Linked DNA regions of Tamandua tetradactyla. The protein of the gene in region 1 purifies or fractionates together with the protein of each later gene. This does not show direct contact. Links are inferred from orthologs where the notes say so. Each region holds a gene or a part of one and is shown on either strand. Other genes may lie near its edges.

Region 1 (10,626 bases):
AGACACTATGCTTATATATTGCTTAGCACAGTGCATGGCATATAAGAAGCACTCAATAGCATACATTAACAATAATAAACATTCATTAAATAATTCCTTTATGTAAGTTATAGTACAAGGTTCTGCAAGAAATTCAGTGACATATACTCCCAAGAGAGCCTCTTTTGTTGCTCAGATGTGGCCTCTCTCTCCAGCCAATATGACGAGCAGTCTCATCACCCTCCCCCTCTCTGTGTGGGACATGACTCCCAGGGGTGTGGACCTTCCTGGCAACGTGGGACAAAGATCCTGGAATGAGCTGAGACTCAGCATCAAAGGACTGAGAAAAACCCTAGAATGAGCTGAGAATTAACATCAAGGGATTGAGAGAACCTTCTCGACCAAGGGGGAAGAGTAAAATGAGGCAAAGTGTCAATGGCTGAGAGATTCCAAACAGAGTCAAGAGGTTATCCTGGAGGTTATTCTTACGCATTAAGTAGATATCATCTTGGTGTTCAAGATGTAGTGGAGAGGCTGGAGGGAATTGCCTGAAAATGTAGTGCTGTGTTCCAGTAACCATGTTTCTTGATGATGATTGAACAATGATATAGCTTTCACAATGAGACTCTGTGAATGTGAAAACCTTATGTCTGATGCTCCTTTTAGCTACTATATCAACAGAAGAGTAGAACATATGGAATAAAAATAAATAATAGGGGGAACAAATGTTAAAATAAATTCAGTTTGAAATGCTAGTGGCAAATGAAAGCGAGGGGTAAGGGGTATGGTATGTATAGTCTTTTTTTCTCTATTATTATTTTATTTCTTTTTCTGTTGTCTTTTTATTTCTTTTTCTAAATCGATGCAAATGTACTAAGAAATGATGAATATGCAACTATGTGATGATATTAAGAATTACTGATTGTATATGTAGAATGGAATGATATCTAAATGTTTTTTTAATTAATAAAAAAAGTTAAAAAAAAAAAAAAAGAAATTGACATATATCAGTTGCTCATGAATGCAGGGACCGTGCTTATCTTATTACCCAATATCCAGCCAATGGCCTGCACAGAGTAGCCATTCAAATGAAATCTGTTGAACGAACGAAGACACAGTCCTTACCTTCAGGAAAACTCAATCTGATTGCATTGTAAACAGTAGAAGAAATTGGAGAACACAATTATTTATTAAACTACTGGTACAGGTATTGGAAAGAGAATTAATCAAAAGTATGAGGTCCAAGTTCCATCTTTGCCACTTACTATGTGATGTTCACCTAGTCAGCCTTAGTTTTATCCTCTCTGGGAACTCCTTAAGGACCCTCCCACTCTGTCTATCACCAAGATGAGACAGGAACTGATGGCAGAAGAGGAGAGCACAGTGGGCTGCACGAACAGGAAGGCCTCAGGAAGAAGGGTTGAGTGGAACCTCCCAGAGGAGGAGAGAAGAAAGAAGGGGGCTGTCCTGCTAAATAAATGAAGTGGCATGAGGTAGACAGTGTGCAACCAGTCTTCCATCTCTGCTGCGGTACCAAAGCTAGAAACTATCATTGGCACTATCTATCATGCAAGCCCAGAGTCCAGTGGAAACAGTACTCAACTTTTCTTCCCAAACAGGCCCTTTGTGAAACCTATTTTCTCTTTGAAAATAACATGACCACTTCAGACTAGAAGACCCAACTCAGAAGTGCAGGAAAATGGCAGCAACTCTGAGTCGTCTCGCCCCTTACCTGTGACCTCAACCCTCTCTTCTTACCCAAGCCCCAGAAGCCTTTGTCTTTGCCCTGGATCAGCTACTCCCAAAGGCACCCTTGACTCCTCTCGACTCTTCCTTATTCTTTCCTACCTCAAATGACAGCTGCAGCACAAAGACATTCAAAGGAGAAGCCAGGAAATCCCTCCAGTTAAGAACCATCTTCCACAGCCTTTATTATCCCTCCAGTTAAGAACCATCTTCCACAGCCTTTATTTAGAAGAAGACTCACTAGCTGATTTGAATTATTATATCTTCCTGCAACTGTTCCTTTTTAAACATTTATCCTGGCAAACACTATCACTGTTTTTTACAGCTTATTTTAATTGTGCGACTATTAAGCAAACCAAACCGTAAAATCAACTCTCACTGCTGAGATTTATGTGGTTCATAGACCAGAGCTTATCAAAAAAGGAATCCACGGAGAAGGTGTGAGGCCGCTTTCCTATCTCTGCCTGTGGCTTCCAAGCTTTTCATAGAGGGTCGCACAGAATCTACCCAATTCCCTCAGACTTTTTTTTCCTTCTTAACAATCCTGATGAATCTAAATGAATAGTCTTTGTTTTTTTAAAATATTGATATTTTTATTGATAAATCTTAACATATAAACAGTCCATACGTGGTGTACAATAAATGGCTCACAATATCATCACTTAGTTGTGCATTCATCACCATGATCATTTTTCAGAACATTTGCATCACTCCAGAAAAATAAATAAAAAGAAAAAAAAAACTCATACATACCATACCCCTTACCCCTCCCTTTATTGACCACCAGCATTTCCATCTACCCAATTTATCTTAACCTTTATTATTTGTTCATTTTCCACCCATATTTTTTACTCATCTATCCACACCCTAGATAAAAGAGCATCCGACACAGGTTTTCACAATCATACAGAGATTGTAAAAGCCATATCATCATACAATCATCTTCAAGAACCAAGGCTACTGAACACAGCTCAACAGTTTCAGGTACTTCGCTCTAGCCACTCTAATACACCATAATCCAAACTGATTCAGTCTAAAAGGGGATGGTGGAACTCTAAGAGAAGCTCACAAACAGGATAAATGTCCTGAAAAATTTACGATAAAGGTCTAAGGCAAGGACTTAATTATGAGATTGGGTGAAATAGATATCTTGATTATTTGACAATATAGTTCTTAGTTAGGACTATGGAACAGCTATCAGACTCCAATAAAAGCTCTCCCTCCAAAAATGCATGTTCACACAAACATTCACATAAAATTTTAAGGGGTTCAAAGGTACCCAATTCCATCCAGGCATCACTTGGGGTCCATAAGCCTCAGATTATTTCTTACTACTTCCACTGTTTACCCTCCCCACTCCCCCAAGCTACTCTTGTTTCTGTCCTAGTTTATTTCAGTAGCCACCCAGCTCATCTCCCAACTTCTCTACATAGTAGCAAGAGTGATCCTGTTAAAATACATCAGAATCATGTCATTTCTCTACTCAGTAAAGTCCATGGGGTTGCATTTCACCTGGAGTAAGAGCCAAAGTTTCTACAATGGCTTACAAGGATCTGTCTCCTTGCTTCCTTGCTAGCCTCACCTTCTACTCTTCTCACCCTTAACTCATTCTGCTGTAGCCACACAGATCTCCTTCCCGTTGCGTACATGCCAGGCACATTCTGGCTGCTGAGCTTTTACTGATACTCCCCTTCCCTGAGTTCTCCATGAGGCTCTCTCCTTCATTCCTTCACTTTGTCATGAGGTCTTCCTGACCTGTATTAAAGACTGCAACCCACCACCTTGCCCAGCACATCTGATCCTCCTCATCTGCTCTTTCTCCACTGCACTCATCCTTTTACATACTATGCATTTTACTTATTACTGTATTATTAATATTTATTTCCCACATCAGCCTGATAACTCCATAAGAGGAGGGCTTTTTGTCTGTTCTGTTTTACAGCTGTATTCCAGCTCCTGAAATAGTGCGTGACAGAGTAGGAACTCAAATACTTTACTGACTGATTGATGACTAACTAAGTGGTAAAACTTTGCAGTGGTATGAAGGTGTCTAGGCTGGGGAATGGAGGAGCATGCACATTTACCACAAAACTTCTAAGTGTGAAGCAGTTTGCAAGTTATACCAGCCATTTCACTTAATCATCACCCACAATCCTACTTCACCAGGAAAACTCAGTCCCCAAGAAGTTAAGAATAGAACCTGAGGTTATACATCTAGTGGCAGAACACAATTCAAACTTGGGTTTACGTGATTCCAAAGCACTGCTTTTCCCACCATCACAAATTACCTCATTCTCCTTAGGAGCAGTTCCTACTTCCCTAAGGAAGTGCAACTGTCGGCTCTCACACATGGTTCCATTTCACAGAGAGGGATCTGAGTCACAGAGACATTAGGGGTCCCTTGGGGTTCTAATTAAGCACAATAAATATTGAGAGCCTGAGACCTTTTGCAAATGTACATAAAACACATTTACTTTGTCAGAAAACTATATTATGAACATCCTTCCAAGGGACATCACTTTCTAAGTTTCATTCATTCATTCCATTCACTCATGGTTTTCCTTGATTTATTTATAAATATGTGCTGAGTGCCTATTATGTGCCAGGCACTGTTCTAGGCACTGGGGATAAAAAGATGTATAAGATACAGAGGTCACGTTCCACAAATAGGCTTGAAGTTTAGGACAGTGCTTTATCCAAAAGAAATATAATGCGAGCCACATATGTAATTTAATATTTACTAGTAGCCACATTTTTAGAAGTAAAAATAGGCAAAATGTATTTTAATAATATATTTTATTTAATCCAGTATATCCAAAATATTATAATTTCAACACGTAATTGAAATACATATATTATTGAGTTTTTAACATTCTTTTTTTTGTACCAAGTCTTCAAAATCAGTGTGTATTTTATACTCACAGCACATCTCAACTTGGATTAGCCACATTTTAAGTGCTACAGCATTGGACAGCACAGGGCCAGAAGAAAGGACAGATACATTTGAGGAGATTTTTAAAACAATGTTCTAATTGCAGTGATAATGTACCTTCAGGATCATTCAACTACCAGTACTAGTACTTTAGCCTTCATTGACCCATCAACCCCAAAGACCTAGATCATTTTGCTATACCAAAGTAGAGAAAAGAGAAAGGGGCTTTACTCTATTGCAAACAGTGGAATCGTGGTTGACCTCAATCAACGAAACTTAATATATCTAAAACAAAACATCCTTACCCCAAATACCTTTACCTCCCCTATTTTCTATTTCAGTTGATGGCACCATTATCTACTTGCTCACTTAAGTCATGCTCATTTCCTCTTTAGACAAATGAACATTTTATCCAGGAGGTAATTTTTTAACCTCTTATTTTGAAATAATTTCAAACTTACAGTACAGATTATAGAAGACTGTTTAGAATATAAATGTTTCTCAAAAACACACCTTCCTCTCCATCACAGCTACCTGAGCTAATTCAGGCCACTTAGCACCCTTGCCTTACCCTCTCTCCTACCCAACTTTGACAGTAATTCCTATTCTGTAAAACTCTTCAGGGCTCTCCATCACTTACAGAATAAAGGCCAAGCTCTTTATGACACAGCAAATAATTTCTTCCAGGATCTGACCTTTGCTTACTGAACAATTGGCCCAACTGTCCCCTGACCTTGAACGAGTTCACGTACCTTCTCTAAACCTGCTACCCCTTTGTAAAAATAGCCATCCTAATCTTTCATAAAGATCACTGGAAGTTCAAAGAGATAATATTTAAAACAATCTACAATGTAGGAGATTATTTCCCCACCATGCCTTTACACAGTTTCCTATCTATCATTATCGTCTATCCATCTATCGTATCCACATTGCGCCTTTTGCAGTTCAATAACATTTACTGAATACTTACTATATGCTAGGCATTGTGCAAGATAACGAGAAGGCGGAACACCGAGAGATCGGCTGAATAACGCGACCTTTGCCTTCCCCAAGCTCATTACAATGTAATTTCTCAACTAATACGCTTTAACTCAATTGGACTATATGATCTCTAACAGCACGAAAAAATCAGGGGGATCCTCAGAAGTTCCAGCCAGGCCGCACTTTGGGACACCACCACGTCCCCTTATCTCTGCTTCCCCAGGCGGCGATCGCAGTTCCGAACGCCCCAAAACCCAGACAACCAAAGACCAGGGCCACGTGGCACAAACTGCCCACGACCCACGTGGTAGGCCGGGGGCGGGGACCCGCGCCAGCGCCGAGACCTGCGGCGCAGCTTGGGCCTTCGCTTATGCGCTTGCGCACTGTCACCAGCTCAAGGACCCGGATTTAAAGAGACAGGAGCTACAACCGTCGTGGGCTGCCCACGGCCTCTGGGCGCCTGGACCCAAGGCCTACAGTGTGCGCTGGAGCCGGAAAGGCAGGTGAGGGCGGCGCGGCGGGGCTGGCAGTGTGGGGAGGAAGCCGGTGGGGACCCGAACCTCGGCGCGGTCCGGGAGCCAGCCCCCTCGGCTCCTCCCCCTCCCGCCTGCGGAGCCCGGGGGCACACCCTCCATGACGTGGCGGCCCCCGGGAGTCCACCCGGGAGGTGCCTGGTACCTTGAGGCACCCCCAAGATACCCGCGCGAGGAATAGTGCCTGCTCACATCCCCGGGCGTGCGGCCCTTCGGGGCCCCTCCAGGGACTTCTTCTGTGTCCCTGCCCCTGCATATTCCCCGCAACGAAGTTGCTGCGCTTCCCTAGGAATTTGGGAGCCTTTCTCGTTCCCAGCGTTCGCTGGCCGGGTGGAAGCGTGCTCCCTTCCCCAGCCCCGCTGGCTGTGCCCGCGGGTCCCCTCGGCCTCCAGCGTGCTGATCCCGAGGGACTCGGAGGGTCTAGCCTTAACGCCGCCCGACCCCGCTTCCCCGCCTCCTCCCTTCCTTGAGGCCGGCTCGCGGCGCCCGGGTCGGTAGTCCCTACCCACTCCGCGAAAGCGTGGCGGGAGGCCCCTTCAGCAAGGCAGCTGCAGGGGTTTCGCTTTCCACCCCGCTGCAGCTCACTGGCCCGTGGCCGTCTGCGCTTCTTTGAGACCTCAGCGATTTCCTGCTCGGGCTCCTTCCAAGGAGTTTATGCGTCGCGGTGGGCCAGAGCCTCAGGAGCCTCCTCTGAGGCTGAGACTAGGGCGCTGCGAGATGCTCTGGAGTCTGTTTCTTTAATTATTTACAGGGGCGTAGGGGTAGGCGTGACATAATTAGGTCTGTCTTCTAAGAAAGATTTCAGGTTCTGAGCTTCTCTTATGGGCCTGCCGTACTTTCCTATACATCATCTCTGTAGTTCTTAAACTTTTGAAGATTGTAGAACCCTTTGTGAATCTCATGAGAAAGTTATGAACCTTCTCTCCAAAAATACATTTACAAGTATGTACATTTTCAAGGAGATTAAACCATGTTACCGCCCCCCTCCCAGGCCATCCATGGGCTTATTTTAATTTTCACAACCACCCTGTGAGGCAGGTATTATTTTCCCTGTTTTAGAAATAAGAACGCAGACTCAGAGAAGTTAAAAAGTTTCTCAAAGTTAAAATAACATATATGCTGTATGATCAGACTTTAAGCTGCCAAGACTCCCTAATTTTTGAAAGACCCTATGCATTCCTCTGTACCATGTTGCAGTACCGTAGGTAAAGGCCTGTTTTTGTATAATACAATGGCAATTTCACTACAAAGCGGTGTGCAAACTTGAAAATGACTTCTAGTATTTTAAATATTAGAACTTTAATTCTTGCCTCCTGTGCGGGAGACCTGGGTTCAGTTCCTGGCCGGTGCACTTCCCAAACCAGGAAACCAACAAACACAAACAAATAAAAAATTCAACAAAATAGTGCTGCAATAGCGGGATACTCACATGGAAAAATAATGAAATGTGGTAACCCCACCATACAACATCCAAAAAAAAAGATACTTTGGAAGATATAAACAATATAAGAAGATAAGGAGATACCATTTGGATATAATCCTTGTTTCCATTTGGATTGATTTATCAGTTTCTTTGACTCTTGTCATCCAGTTACTTCAGAATTCTCTGACTCAAATTGCTGAATTATAGACAGGCATATAATTGTACATAGGGTACCACTGTTTAAAGTAACTTCTTCATTGAAGATAAGAGCTAACATTATTGAGCCCCTGATAATGTGTCCAACTCTTTTCTAAGGGCTTACCCCTTAGAACAGCAATGCTTTGAATAAGTACTATTGTCGACATTTTACAAATGAGGAAACTGAGGAATGGAGAGATTAAGAAACTACCAAGTTCACACAGCCGGTAAGTGGCTGAGCTAAGGTTTGAACCCAGGCAGTCTGATTCCAGGCTCCACTTAGTTGCCTCTCAAAATAGGGTTTTGGATTAAATCACAAATCCATGTAATGGTTTGTTTTCTAGAGGATGACGTGTTATATCTCACATTGAATACTTTATGGACATATGTAATTTTTCTTAATGATTAAAAAGAAACTTCACGACCTTATAATACTTAAATGTCATCATTCATTATGAGTCTCAGGGATTGCTGAGAAAACAGGATAAGCTTTGTATTATTTGGGTTCTCTTAGTTGTGATTACTGGATATACGTGTGTATATTAATCAAACACCTTTTGCAAACTGGATTTTCCATTTACTGGAACTCTTCTTCATCCTGTAGGAAATAAACTTTTAATACTTTTGATTAGTCAGCCTGGGCCATATAGACCTTTGGCTTTTGAGCAAATTGGAAGTTTATCTCCTCATTTATATCTCATTTACTCTGCTTCTCACCCTTTCATGCAGCTGTATGACTTTAGCTTTCAGGATCCTCTTTCCACCAACCTTCCGTGCATTCAGCCGAAAAGAACCGTGCCTGTTCCGAGAGCGACATCGTTGGCCTGACATCAGACAGTTTAACCAGTGGCTAGAAACAGATCTGCTTCATGGGCGCTGCCCTCTGACAAAAAAGCCTGTTCTGTCATTCCAGCAAGGCAATCAAAAACCACGAACCACTTGCCTTGTTTTCTTGCCAGGGTTGCATGTGGGACTCTGCAGTGGCCCCAGTGAGATGGCTGAGCAACGATTCTGTGTTGATTATGCCAAGCGTGGCACAGCTGGCTGCAAAAAATGTAAAGAAAAGATCGTGAAGGGTGTATGCCGAATTGGCAAAGTGGTGCCCAATCCCTTCTCAGAGTCCGGCGGTGATATGAAAGAGTGGTACCACATTAAATGCATGTTTGAGAAACTTGAACGGGCCCGGGCCACCACAAAAAAAATCGAGGATCTCACAGAGCTGGAAGGCTGGGAGGAGCTGGAAGATAATGAGAAGGAACAGATAACACAGCACATTGCAGGTGAGTGGAGAAAACTTTTCTCATTTCATTCTTGTCGGGAGAACAGGGATAAGGAGAGTAGAGTCCACTTTCTTTTAAACATTTTATTTGGAAATAATTTCAAACTCACAGGAAAGTTGCAAGAACAAAAATAGTACAAAGAAGATCCATATTCCTTTAACCCAGCTTCACTTACCATTGACATTTTACTGCTTTATGATTTGTGCTTACACATATTCTTACTAGCCCACTCTCTATGCACACGCATGCACAATTTTTTTTTGTCCTGAATCATTTAAGAGTAAGTTACATACATCATGAGCTTTTACCTTTAAATATTTGACAGTATGTATATCCTAAGAATAGGAATATTCTCTTATATAATCATGATATGGTTATTAACTGCAGTAAATTTATTATTGATATAGTAATAAATAATTACTATCTCTTTCTTCCAATTTTGTCAATTGATCAAATAGTATATTTAATTACATTTTTTTTCCAGTACAGGATCCCCATCTAGGATCAGATGTTGCATTTAGTTTGACATGTCTCTGGCCTCCTTTTTGTTTATGACATTGACATTTTTAAAATATAGAGTACCCACCCATGCTTTTTTTTATCTTATGAATTTATTATCTGTGTGGACTCGTGGCTTGCTACTTTCTCCCAATGGCTTAAAATTCATTACTGTACCTAATTATTTGGGTACTCAGTTGGTCCTTATGTGGGTACCCCTTCAGTCTGTTATCTGTATCTTTGTGACCTGCGCTCATCATTTTCTTAAAAAATGTTTTGAAGTTGTTCCTTACTTTTTGGTGTAACAATATATTCTTAGGCTCATCTTGTATGTATCCTAGCCCAGCCCTGGAATCAGCCATTTCTCTGAAGAGTCCTGGTTCCTGTTAGTGGGGCTTGGTATTAGAGACCAAAATTTGAGTGCTAGGTGTTCTCGTTGCCACTGGGGTAGTTTTGCTTCTAAGACCTTTTAGCATACAGTTAGAAAATGCATTCGTGTATATGTACATAAACACACACACACACATATGGACATACATGCACACGCACATCCATATGCCTATTTTAGAGACCTCCAAATCTAATTAATCCCTTAAGACTCTCATAATCCTTTCTGTAAAATAATATTCATATCTTTAGTTAAGCATGGTTGTAGTCCCTGTTACATCCCTTTTATAGTCACTGTTAGAGCCACTCTAACATTGGCTCTAAAACCATCTAAAAATGGGCATCTATCCTTGTGCTTTGAAAGGAAGAAAGACTTCCAGAAGAGAAGAGTCTCCTTCTCATATCCTCCATTCTCAGGCTTTCACCCAGCTGTGCCGTGCTTTAGGCATTTGTTACTTAACCCTTGTTACTTCTTGCCCAAACCCTCATTCAGAGGAAGAGAAACACAAGTAGAGTTAAATTGTCGTATAGCTCAGATAATTCAGCAGCTGGAAATTTCCCTGTGGTTGTCTTCATTTTATCTTTGTGTTTATATATAAATTAGGGCTAATTTTGTGGAGCTGGACTCCTCAAATTTTATGTATCAAGATGTGATTTCTAATTTCCCCC
Region 2 (11,182 bases), on another chromosome or scaffold:
AACAGTGAATAAGTGTGCCTCTTTCTCCACATCCTCTCCAGCACTTGTCATTTTCTATTTTGTTGATAATGGCTATTCTGGTGGGTGTGAGATGATCTCTCATTGTGGTTTTGATTTGCATTTCTCTAATGGCCAGGGACACTGAGCATCTCTTCATGTGCCTTTTGGCCATTTGTATTTTCTCTTCTGAGAAGTGTCTGTTCAAATCTTTTTCCCATTTTGTAATTGGGTTGGCTGTCTTTTTGTTGTTGAGTTGAACAATCTCTTTATAAATTCTGGATACTAGACCTTTATCTGATATGTCGTTTCCAAATATTGTCTCCCATTGTGTAGGCTGTCTTTCTACTTTCTTGATGAAGTTCTTTGATGCACAAAAGTGTTTAATTTTGAGGAGCTCCCATGTATTTATTTCCTTCTTCAGTATTCTTGCTTTAGGTTTAAGGTCCATAAAACCGCCTCCAGTTGTAAGATTCATAAGATATCTCCCAACATTTTCCTCTAACTGTTTTATGTTCTTAGACCTAATGTTTAGATCTTTGATCCATTTTGAGTTAACTTTTGTATAGGGTGTGAGACATGGGTCTTCTTTCATTCTTTTGCATATGGATATCCAGTTCTCTAGGCACCATTTATTGAAGAGACTGTTCTGTCCCAGGTGAGTTGGCTTGACTGCCTTATCAAAGATCAAATGTCCATGGATGAGAGGGTCTGTATCTGAGCACTCTATTCGATTCCATTGGTTAATATATCTATCTTTATGCCAGTACCATGCTGTTTTGACCACTGTGGCTTTGAAGTTGTTGTTTTTTAAAATTTATTCTAATAGAAATGGAGGTGGGGGGGAAGAGTAGCACATTTCATTTAGTCTCTCAAAGTTAAAAGTTAACGTTTTCCCCATTGGAATGATAAAATATTCCCTTTAAAGCTCCAGGTTGGTAGATTGCTGCAAGAGACCATATATTCCACAGTTTACATTATGATTATTTTAATTCTTCACTTTGCTATAGAATATGTTCTAATTTAAGTTTGACACTACATCTGAATTTCCTTCTCTGCACATAAATTGTGATGTAGATATGATTGTTTTGCCACCATATTATTATTTTTTCAGAAAAGAAATTGATGAAAGGAACCGCTTATAGAAGTAGTTGCAATTTTTTGTAAACAATTTCTATGATGTCTCATGAACCCATGATATGACATCAAAATCTACTCTGCAAGATATATATATATCCTCTTTTCTTGCACTGGGCAGCAACTTATAAACTGCAACATCCTCAACAAAACAAAAGAAAAATTCCACTGATGTAATGACCGCTATGAGAGGTCTTCTCTAATCTTCTGAATGATTTATAACTCTTCTTGTATTTTTCACCCTATGGACACACTTTTATCATAGAATTTATGTAAAGATACATAAAAAAGGTATAAATTAAAAGTTTGGAGGATGAAGAAATAAAAACACAGGGAGAGACAAAATGGAGCTTGGAATGAGCTAAAAATGTGCATAGAAATGACCTTCAATTAAAAAAAGCAAAGAAAAAAACAATAATAAAAAACACCCAAACAAACAAAAGAAATGACCTTCATATATGGGCAACTGGGCCATGAATTTGTCTCTAAGCTAAAGCCTCATTGTATTCACAATTCATGGTGTCTGTAAGAAAAAACAAACCTGTTACTCTGGAGAAGTGAAACTATTCCTGGAATTGGGATCTGATTGGAATGTCTCCCAGGGGTGTTAATAAAGAGAACATTGTGTGATATGAAGAGCAGTGTCCTTGACAGCATTCCTAATGGGGTGACCAGTTCACAGGGATGCCTCTTAACAGCCCGATGGCTGCACACCAAAAGGCAATCCAATGAGTTAAAGCCAAGCTTCAGAGGTGGAGGACTGTTTTGGTGATCATGACTTAATAGCATTTATTTTTTTATGTAATGAGGGTCACATTTCATTCTTTTTCCAGGTGAGTATCCCCTTATTGCAGTAACATTTATTCTTTTTTTTTTTTTGAAGGGGGAGTAGTGCATGGGCCAGGAATTGAACCTGGGTCTCTCACATGGCAGACAAGAATTCTACCACTGAACTATACTTGTACCACCTCCTTAATAACATTTTATATCCAGCCAGTACTTAGCACAGTAATTGTCGTATAGCAGGTGCTCAGAAGTGTTTGTTGAGTGAATGTCAAACCCTGATTACCAAGATCTGATATCCTGCACCCCAACTTTGCACTCCTTTTGTAGCTATCAGGCAATATGAAGGAATTAAAGTGTTGGGTTAAACTGCCATTTCAACATTTTTATGTTCAATTTATTATGTTTTATCCAAATATGGGTGGGAAGTCAGGAGGTGAGGGATATGTGTGTGTATGTGTTCACATTTTTCTGGGTGTGGTAGTGGTGGTGTTGGGTGTGGTAGTGGTGGTAGTTAGTCAAGAAAGTGTGGTAGGAGAGGTTGGTTGGCAAGTGATCTTGAGAGCACTGCTGGCTTAGATCTTAACTCTCACTTGCAAGCTGTTCCTCAGAGCAGAGGCAGAACTGGTAATGGTGTCAAGTTGGGTAATGGGGTCAACTTGGCCAAGTGATGATGCCCAGTTGTCCGGTCAGGCAAGCACTTCCCTGGCCTTTGCTGCAAGGATATTTCATGGCTGGTTGTTAAACTGGAAGGCTAGTGTATTAAATCATCAGTCAGTTGACTGCATCTGTGGCTGATTACATTTGTGATCAATTATGGCACAAGTAAGGATTGTCTCCCACAACATGACAATCCAATCAGTTGAAGGCTTTTAAGGAAGAAGAGAGACCCTTTCACTGCTTTTTCAGCCAGAGAGCCTCTCCTGTGGAGGTTGTCCAGACCCTTCATCAGAGCTGCCAGCTTCATAGCCTGTCCTACAGATTTTAGATTGCCATGGTTGCATGAGACACCTTTATAAATCTCATATTTACAGATATATCCTGCTGGTTCTGTTTCTCTAGAGAACCCTAATACAGTGGGCCTTTGTTATTGGTCTCTGAGCTAAGCATCAGCGAGGCCCAGACACAGGTCACAGTGGTACCAACAGTAAAAGGAATTCAGTGCTGCACTAGCAGCCCTTAGATGGGCCTTTCCTGACCCTGCTACCAACCTCTCCCCCCAAAACTTTTTTTTTCTCAAAAGAGGTGTTCCAGCTATTCTCTCCCCTACAACTGTGTACTTTTCCTTCTTAGGACTTATTACCAATTGTAAATCTGTGCATGTGAAAGTAATGACTGTCTTCCCCACTAGACTGTGCCACAAGGGCAGGGAGTGTGTCTGTTTTGCTTACCTGTGCATCCAGAACATAATAGAATCTCAATAAATATTTGTCAAATAGAGGAACATTGAAATACAGATTCTAGCATTTGTCTTGCCCATATCAGTAATTTACCTTGACATGTTAATAAATTATACTTTGATGTGTACCTGAGTCTCATGTGAGTTAGATAGGTAAATCAGTCTCAAAGGGCCTGACCACCCTAAGCCTAATATTAGGAAGTCTCCATGAGCAAGTCTTTGGACTAGACCACTGCAGCCTTCTCAGGCTCCAACTGCACTTCCTTTATACCAGGACTCTCAAAATCAAAGGCATTCAGGGAGTCAGATTATATAAATAAATGGATGGGAACAGTGGCAAGTTGAAGAGCACATGGTAGCCACTCTCAGTCCCAGCTGTTTGTTGCCAGAAGTTGCTAGATTTACTGATTTTTTTCAAGAGACCAGGAATCCTGATTTTCTTGTGAGATCTAATTTTTAATTGTTGGAATAAAAAATAAAACTCCCTGAGCAGGCCAACAGAACACATTTTGAAGGGCACAGTTTCAAGCCTTTTCCTTCCATCAGTGAACCTCAAATTTGAGGGGGCATCGGGATAATCTGGAAGGCTTTCAAAAAATATTTTTGACAAATCTTCACACACATACAATTCATACATGGTGTAAATCAGTGGCTCACAATATCATCGCATAGTTGTGTATTCATTACCATGATCATTTTAGAACATTTACATCACTCCATAAAAAGAAACAAAAAAGAAAAAACTCATACATCCCATACCCCTTACCCCTCCCTCTCACTGACCACTAGTATTTCTATCTACTCAATTTAGCTTACCCCTTATCCCCTCTATTATTTATTTCTTTATTTTATCCATGTTTACTCCTCTGTCCATACCCTGGATAAAAGAGCATCAGATACAAAGTTTCCACAATCACACAGTCTCACTGTAACAGTTATATCTTTATACAATCACCTTCAAGGATCAAAGCTACTGGAACACACTCAACAATTTCAGGTACTTCCCTCTAGCCACTCCAAATACACTGTAAACTAAAAAGGGATATCTATATAATGCATAAGAATAACCTCCAGGATAACCTCCAGACTCTGAAATCTTTCAGTCACTGAAACATTATTTTGTCTCATTTTTCTCTTCCCCTTTTTGATCAAGAAAGGTTTCTCAATCCCATGATGCTGGATCCCAGCTCATCCTGGGAGTCTTGTCTCACATTGCCAGGGAGATTGACACCCCTGGGAGTCATGTCCCATGTGGAGAGGAGGGCAATGAGTTCACCTGCCAAACTGGCTTTTAGAGATAGGCCACATCTGAACAACAGAAGAGGTTCTCTGGTGGTGATTTGTAGGCCTACCGTTAAGTAGGCTTAGTCTATCTTTATAGGAATGTTTCATGGGGTTGAACCCCAAGATTGAGGGCTCGACCTATTGGTTCTGGAGGCCTTTTTAGAAACAGATTGTTGGGCCTCACCCCGAGTTTCTCAATCAGTAGGCCTGGGGTAGAGCTCCCAAATTTGCATTTTTAACAAGTTTCCAGGTGATGCTGATGCTACTTGTCTTGGAACTACATTTTGAGGGCTACTGCCATAGATAATATCTCAGAATACTCTCTACTCATTTTTATATATGTTTGTGATAAATCATTTTGCTTCTGGAGTGGTATCTATGAATCTCTTAAGTGTCATCACCCATATATTGTACCATGACCCTCCTTTCTTGGCCACCACTGCACTTTAGACAGTGGGCTTGATCTAACTGAAGCCATCGGTCTGGGACCTGGGAGGTGACCCAGTGTGGGAACTCTGCCTGATTTTTCACATCTTATTGTGAATAATACAATTAGAACGATCCCATCCCGGTTTTGAATGTAAGATACACAAAAGGCAGGGCAGGTAGAAGCAGAGACAAAGAGAAGCTTAATTCTAAGGGAAAAACAAAACTGGCTAGGTCACCAGAGTTGTTGCTTTTTATCTCAAGCACTTGTGAACCCACCATTAGGCCTGACTCGGTAGCTGAGATGCATCCGTGCCTCCCCACTTCCTTAGGCGACCTTAGTTTAAGCTTGCATTTCCTCTAACAAGAGCAAGTTCCTCTTTTTGTTTCCTGTAAGATCCTCCCACCTTCTGTCTTGATGACTCAGTTGTTTTCGCTATACTGTTGAGTTTTTGCTTCTATATGGAAGGAAACAAATTCCATCTCGACAAAGAAGCCTCTTATGGCTCAGTTTTTATCTAAGATGTTTGAGAAAAAATTAAAACAGCATGCCTTCATCCCTGAAATAGGGATTTCTCTACCTGACAAAATGCCTTGGAACAATTGCAAAACCTGACTCTGAGGGAACGACCTGGAACTGCTGTAAAAATCTGTAAACATCTCATCCTAGTATTCTGTTTCTCTACTCCCTGATTGCTCTTCCGTCAGTTCATTACTGAAGATAGCACTAAACAAACGAACAAAAAAAAAACCTCTAGCAGGTTTCCCTGACTCTCTTTCTTCCTTTCCTTTATTCCCAACAAAGGGAGAAAGTATACTATGGCTAAGAAAGGGAGAGAAGCAATTTCACAGCAGGTACCAACAGCAGAAAAGAGAGCCTCAATGATAGCGTCACCTCACAGGAGTGCAAAGAAGCTGCACGGCCGCCTGGAAACGTGGAACCTGCACTGGCCGCCTGAGGTCTCTTCCAGTTTAGACTGAGGGTGGTGACAGGAGAGCGACCCCCGAGCACAGAGGTGCCGCGAGAACTCCGTCTTCTAGGGACAGTTGCCAGGTTACCCACGTGAACCCCGGTCGACTGCTGGACGGGTTGGGGAGGACATTTCCCAGCCCGGGCTTGGGCGAGACTTTCTCAGCCAATCCTCAAAAGGCTCTGGTGACGCCACAGGTTGCGATTGCAGTCTCGTGACGTCATCCTGCAGCGCCGGAAGCTGTGCGGCCAGATGGACTGCTGTGAACGTGTCCATCTCTGCCATCTCGAGGTAAGGCGGTGATCGGCCTACCTCTTCTGTTGAAACCTGCAGGATTGGGCCTCAGGCTGGGGCCGCTCTGCCCCCGAGTAATGTTCCTTGAATAACGCTCTCACGGCTTCTTTCTCGGCAAGCGTTGCCCCATCCTCTGGCTCTCCGGAGAGCTCTTGTGCTCCGTTTCAGCGGGGCGGTCACGTTGGTCTCCGCCCTTTGTTCATATGTGCTCCGGATACCTGCACATAGCTTAGTCGCAAAAAGGTTAGTTAGAGAGTGAGTCCTTTCCTACCTAAGGAGGTGGTTCAGCTTGTTAGGAAGTGTTGTCCGCCAGAAACTCCCTGAAAGGAACTTGTTTTGATACCTTGAGGGCCTTCAAAGGAGACAGTGCACATCGTAAATAAGTGTTCTCAACAGGCATTACAGGAAGCTCAGAAGAAGCAAGTCTTTCTCCAGTGATAGAGATTTCAAAAGAGCAGCGATATAGTTTCCATTTGGGATTAATGTGGTCTAGGTTTAGAACCTTCTTGAAGTTTGCCTTATATTTGGAGTCCTATAGAATACTTTGGGAATATATTTGAATTGTGATTGGTCATAAGGGCAGATCATTGGGGTTTGTGTCCTCCCACCTTAGTTTGCAACGTCTGTGCTGTCTGATGGTCTTTTTCACAGGACCTTAACTTCTGCTTTCATCCAACCTTAACTATTAATAAGAATTATAATGGTTTTAAATGCTTTTTGCCAGACACTAAGCTTTACATACTTTTTCATTTTAATTAGCCCTTGTGATAACCCTGTGGTTTAGAGCAGTTACTGTCCTTTTACAACTGAGGAAGTAAAGTCTTAAGAGCAGTTAAATAACTTGCCTCAATTCACACAGTGAGTGGGTGGTGGAGCTAAGATTTGAATCCAGGCAATCCGACTTCATAGGCCTTGATGTTAACCATTGGTGTATGTTGTTTTGTCTTCAGTTGTGCATTAAGCTCCAAGCATTTCACTCTGTTGTTACTTTAACTGGATTGGGGAGAAAATTGAGGTCATCATATTTTTCTTTTGTAACAGAAATTAAGAATTAACAAATGATTACTATTACCGAATCATTACGTGCATGTTTGTTTATCTGTATTGTGGAATAGGTAGCCATTAATACCTGAGATTACTGAAACTCAACTAGTCTCACCTTTATTTACAGTTACTATTATAATGGTTATTCTAGCCTAATATTGGCCCTGTGTGTACTTACTATTTTATAATATTAACAACTCCATCCCTCACTTGTTTGGATTCATAAAAACCCTGAACTCCTTAGACTCCAGGAAATAGATTTTTTGGGTGGATAGGTCATTTACTCTCCTGTGTCACACTTACCATTAAACTCTTTCTCTCTTTGAAACCCTAGTGTCATAAATTGGCTGTTGTGCACATTGGGTAGAGAATCCACTGCTTTTGATTGGTATCACTTTCAAATTCCCGCTTCTCCCTTCCCTTCTTACAAAGTCATCTGTTTTTGTAGCCATCGTTACATTACTGTTAGTCTTCAAGAATGAGTGAACTCTTTTTTATTATTTTTTATCATAACAATCATTTTTTTAATGAAAAATAACATACATACACAAAAGCAATAACTTTCAAAGTGTATCACAACAATTAATTGTAGAACGGATTTCAGATTTTGGTATGGGTTCCAATTCCACAATTTTAGGTTTTTACTTCTAGCTGCTCTAAGATACTGGAGACGAAAAGAAATATCAATATAACAATTCAGAAATCATACTCATTTCTTAAACTCTACCTTCTCTGTATAATTCCACCATCACCTTTGATCTTTCTCCCACTCTTTAGGAGTATTTTGGCTATGCCTATTCTAACTTTTTCATGTTGAAAGGGGCTGTTGATAATATGGGATAAAGAAATGGACCTGATTGGTGTCCTTGAGAGGCTGGACCCTCTGCATTTCAGGACTTACCTGGTCCAGGGACCCATCTGGAATTTGTGGTTTTCTGGAAAGTTACCCTCTTGGATGGAACCTTTGTAAAATCTTATATAATGCCTTAGGTATTCAGATTGGCAGGAGTGGTTGTGGTTGTGGTTTGTCAAGTTATAATAGGTAGCAATGTTTAACTAAAGTTTGCCTAAGAGTGACCTCCAAGAGTAGCCTCTCGATTCTATTTGAACTCTCTCAGCCACTGACACCTTATTTATTATGCTTCTTTTCAACCTTTTGGTCAGGATGGGATTGTTGATCCCATAGTGCCTGAGCCAGGCTTATCTCTGGGAGCCATATCCCATGCTGCTAAGGAGACTTTCACCCTGGATGTCATATCCCATGGAGGGGGAAGGACAATGATTTCACTTGCAGAGTTGGCCTTAGAGAGAGAGAGGCCTCATCTGAGCAACAAAAGAGGTCCTCTGTAAGTAACTCTGAAGTATACCTATAGGTAGGCTAGGCTTCTCTGCTATATACATAAGCTTCTCAAGAGTAAGCGTAAAGATCAAGGGCTTGGCCTTTTGATGTGGGTGTCCCTACTGTTTGATACAGTATCAGGCGTTTGAGTGGATTCTTTTGATAAAAGAAAATCCCTTTATCTTTGCTTCTGACTTTTCTTTTACCTTTACCTGTGAGATCTTGTTTTCATTTGTTTTTCTCTCCCTTACTGTCTTTACCCCAGTCAAACATAAACAAAGAAATCAGGCTTTTTTAGATCTCTTCCTATCCTCACCTCAAAGAGAGAGAAAAAAAAGAAAGAAAAAGTCTTTGGTCATTGTTTTGTTTGTTAAAGCTGCTAGAACACAATATACCAGAAATGGGTTGGCTTTCGTAATAAAGGGAATTTATTAAGTCACAATTTTCTAAGGCCATAAAAATGTCCAAACTAAGGCGTCCACATAAATACGCTTTGACTCAAGGAAGGGTTGATGATGTTCGGGTTTCTCTGTCAGTTGGAAAGGCTCATGGCCACATCTGCTAGCTTTCTTTTGTGGCTTCTCATTTCAAAATGGCTTCCTGGGAGTGTTTTGCTTCTGCATCTCCAAACATCTCTCACTGTGTCAACCCTGAAGCTTTTTCCAAAATGGTTCACTTTTAAAAGACTCCAGTAAGCAACTCCACCTTGAATGGATGAAGATACATCTCCATGGAATCCAGCTGAGCAAAAGGTCCCACCCACAATTGGGTGGGTCGCATCTCCTGGGAAGCAACTTAATGAAAAAAATCCCACCTAGCAATATTAAATCAGGATTAAAGAGCATAGCATTTCTGTTATACACAGCAGTTTCAAACTGGTACAGTCATTTATCTTCTTTTAGCTATCAAGGAATAATTCTCTTCTTCTCATCTAGACTCTTTTAAAGATTATTTTGTCTCCATATCCTCATCTCTCATTCACTTCTGCAGTTTAGCTTTCAAACCCATCATTCCCCTGAAATTGTACCTTAAGGTCAGTAGTGACCGATTATCAAACCAGATGGACATTTTATATTTATTATTGGATCCCTTTGCTGCTTTTGAAACTTTATCAAGCACTCCTTATTTCTTTGCTTTCTGGACAACATGTTCAGCTAATTTAGGTCCACCACCTATGCAAAAGCTTTCTTGATACCTCCCTGGGTTGGGTACTACAGCTTTGTGCTCCCAAGCACAGACCAATAAATGCACTTATAACATTTATTATGATTGTTTCTATCTCTCTCTCCTTCACAAAACTCTGCCTTTTGAAGGCCAGAACCCATGCTTTCTCTGTGTAAGCCTTAGAATGGTACAAAACAATAGTAGGCATGCAGTAATCTTGATCAAATTATCAAATAAGTGAAACCAAAAGATAGTATGGTACGGTGGTAAGGAACCCATTCTTTGGAATTAATTCAAATCCAAGCTGTGCTAGACATTGACTATGTGACTTGACCACAGTATTTATCTTCTCTAAGTCTTAAATTTCTCTTCCTTATAATGAGATTTTTTATTAGATTAAATGAGATGATGTAAAGACACTTGGCACAGTACTTAGCACATAGTATGCATTTAATAAAGATATGCTGAACACCAGGACATGCAGGACTACAAGGCCAGTCCTAGCCCAGTGCAGTGATCTCTGGTGACCTTTTCTTGTGTTTCCTGAATGGGTGGGCAATGATATAGTCTTCTTACCAAGAGCTTATAATCTCATTTGGAGAGTAGAATCATATCCACATTACACATTTAGAGAACCAGGAATGCAGTCCTACCATGTCCAATAACAAAAGTGTAGAAGGGAAGATAGCTCAGTGAAAGCCTCAGGAGAAGGTGGGGCTTGAAGGTTGAGTACTATTTGGATTTCTAGGAGGGCGGAAAGGATATAAACCAATACCAGGAAGCCATATTAAGAATGGCTCATTTGGAAGATATGATTTAGTATAGTTATGTTATATTATACCTGAAAGGTGTAATGCATGTAGGAGTGTCTGGGGGAAGGGAGGAGAGAGGGATGGATATGAATGGGGCTAGTTCTGTGAAAAATAGCAGGAGGTGAAATAAGTAATGTCTGTGGGGTTACAGTATGGAGGCTCTCAACTTTAAGCCATATGTGGCTGCTTTAAGTTAAGTTTAAATTAAATTTAAAAAAATAATCTGTTCTTTTGTCACACTAGCTACATTTCAGGTGTGGCTACATGTGGCCACCTTATTGGAAAGTACATGTATAGAATATTCCATTATTGCAGAAAGTTTTATTGGACAGTACTGCTCCACAGTATCAAATTGTTGGCCTTGTTCTTTTGGCTTGTCAGATCATTTTGGTTCCTTAAGAAATAATCAGAATTTCTCTCTCATCAACTCCCACAACCTGGAATGAGAGGAAGAAGCATGGGCCTGGTAAATAGAGAACTGAGATTCATCTACATAGATGTGAGGATTTATGGGATAGTCCAAAGAGAGGAG

Evidence for each region.
Region 2: the proteins of LIG3 (region 1) and APTX purify together in Homo sapiens (affinity purification with mass spectrometry; 3 studies listed by BioGRID and IntAct, with this or other methods). This does not show direct contact. The link is inferred for Tamandua tetradactyla from reciprocal best matches to the Homo sapiens genes LIG3 and APTX.

The regions. Positions count from the first base shown.
Region 1 is NC_135332.1:46,370,801-46,381,426, reverse strand, and holds the start of LIG3 (DNA ligase 3), read left to right. Parts: upstream 1-5,998; 5' UTR 5,999-6,137; exon of another isoform or gene 6,138-6,141; intron 6,142-8,521; 5' UTR 8,522-8,525; coding exon 8,526-9,072; intron 9,073-10,626. UniProt on the Homo sapiens protein: Isoform 3 functions as a heterodimer with DNA-repair protein XRCC1 in the nucleus and can correct defective DNA strand-break repair and sister chromatid exchange following treatment with ionizing radiation and alkylating agents.
Region 2 is NC_135328.1:62,889,529-62,900,710, forward strand, and holds the start of APTX (aprataxin), read left to right. Parts: upstream 1-6,221; 5' UTR 6,222-6,288; intron 6,289-11,182. UniProt on the Homo sapiens protein: DNA-binding protein involved in single-strand DNA break repair, double-strand DNA break repair and base excision repair.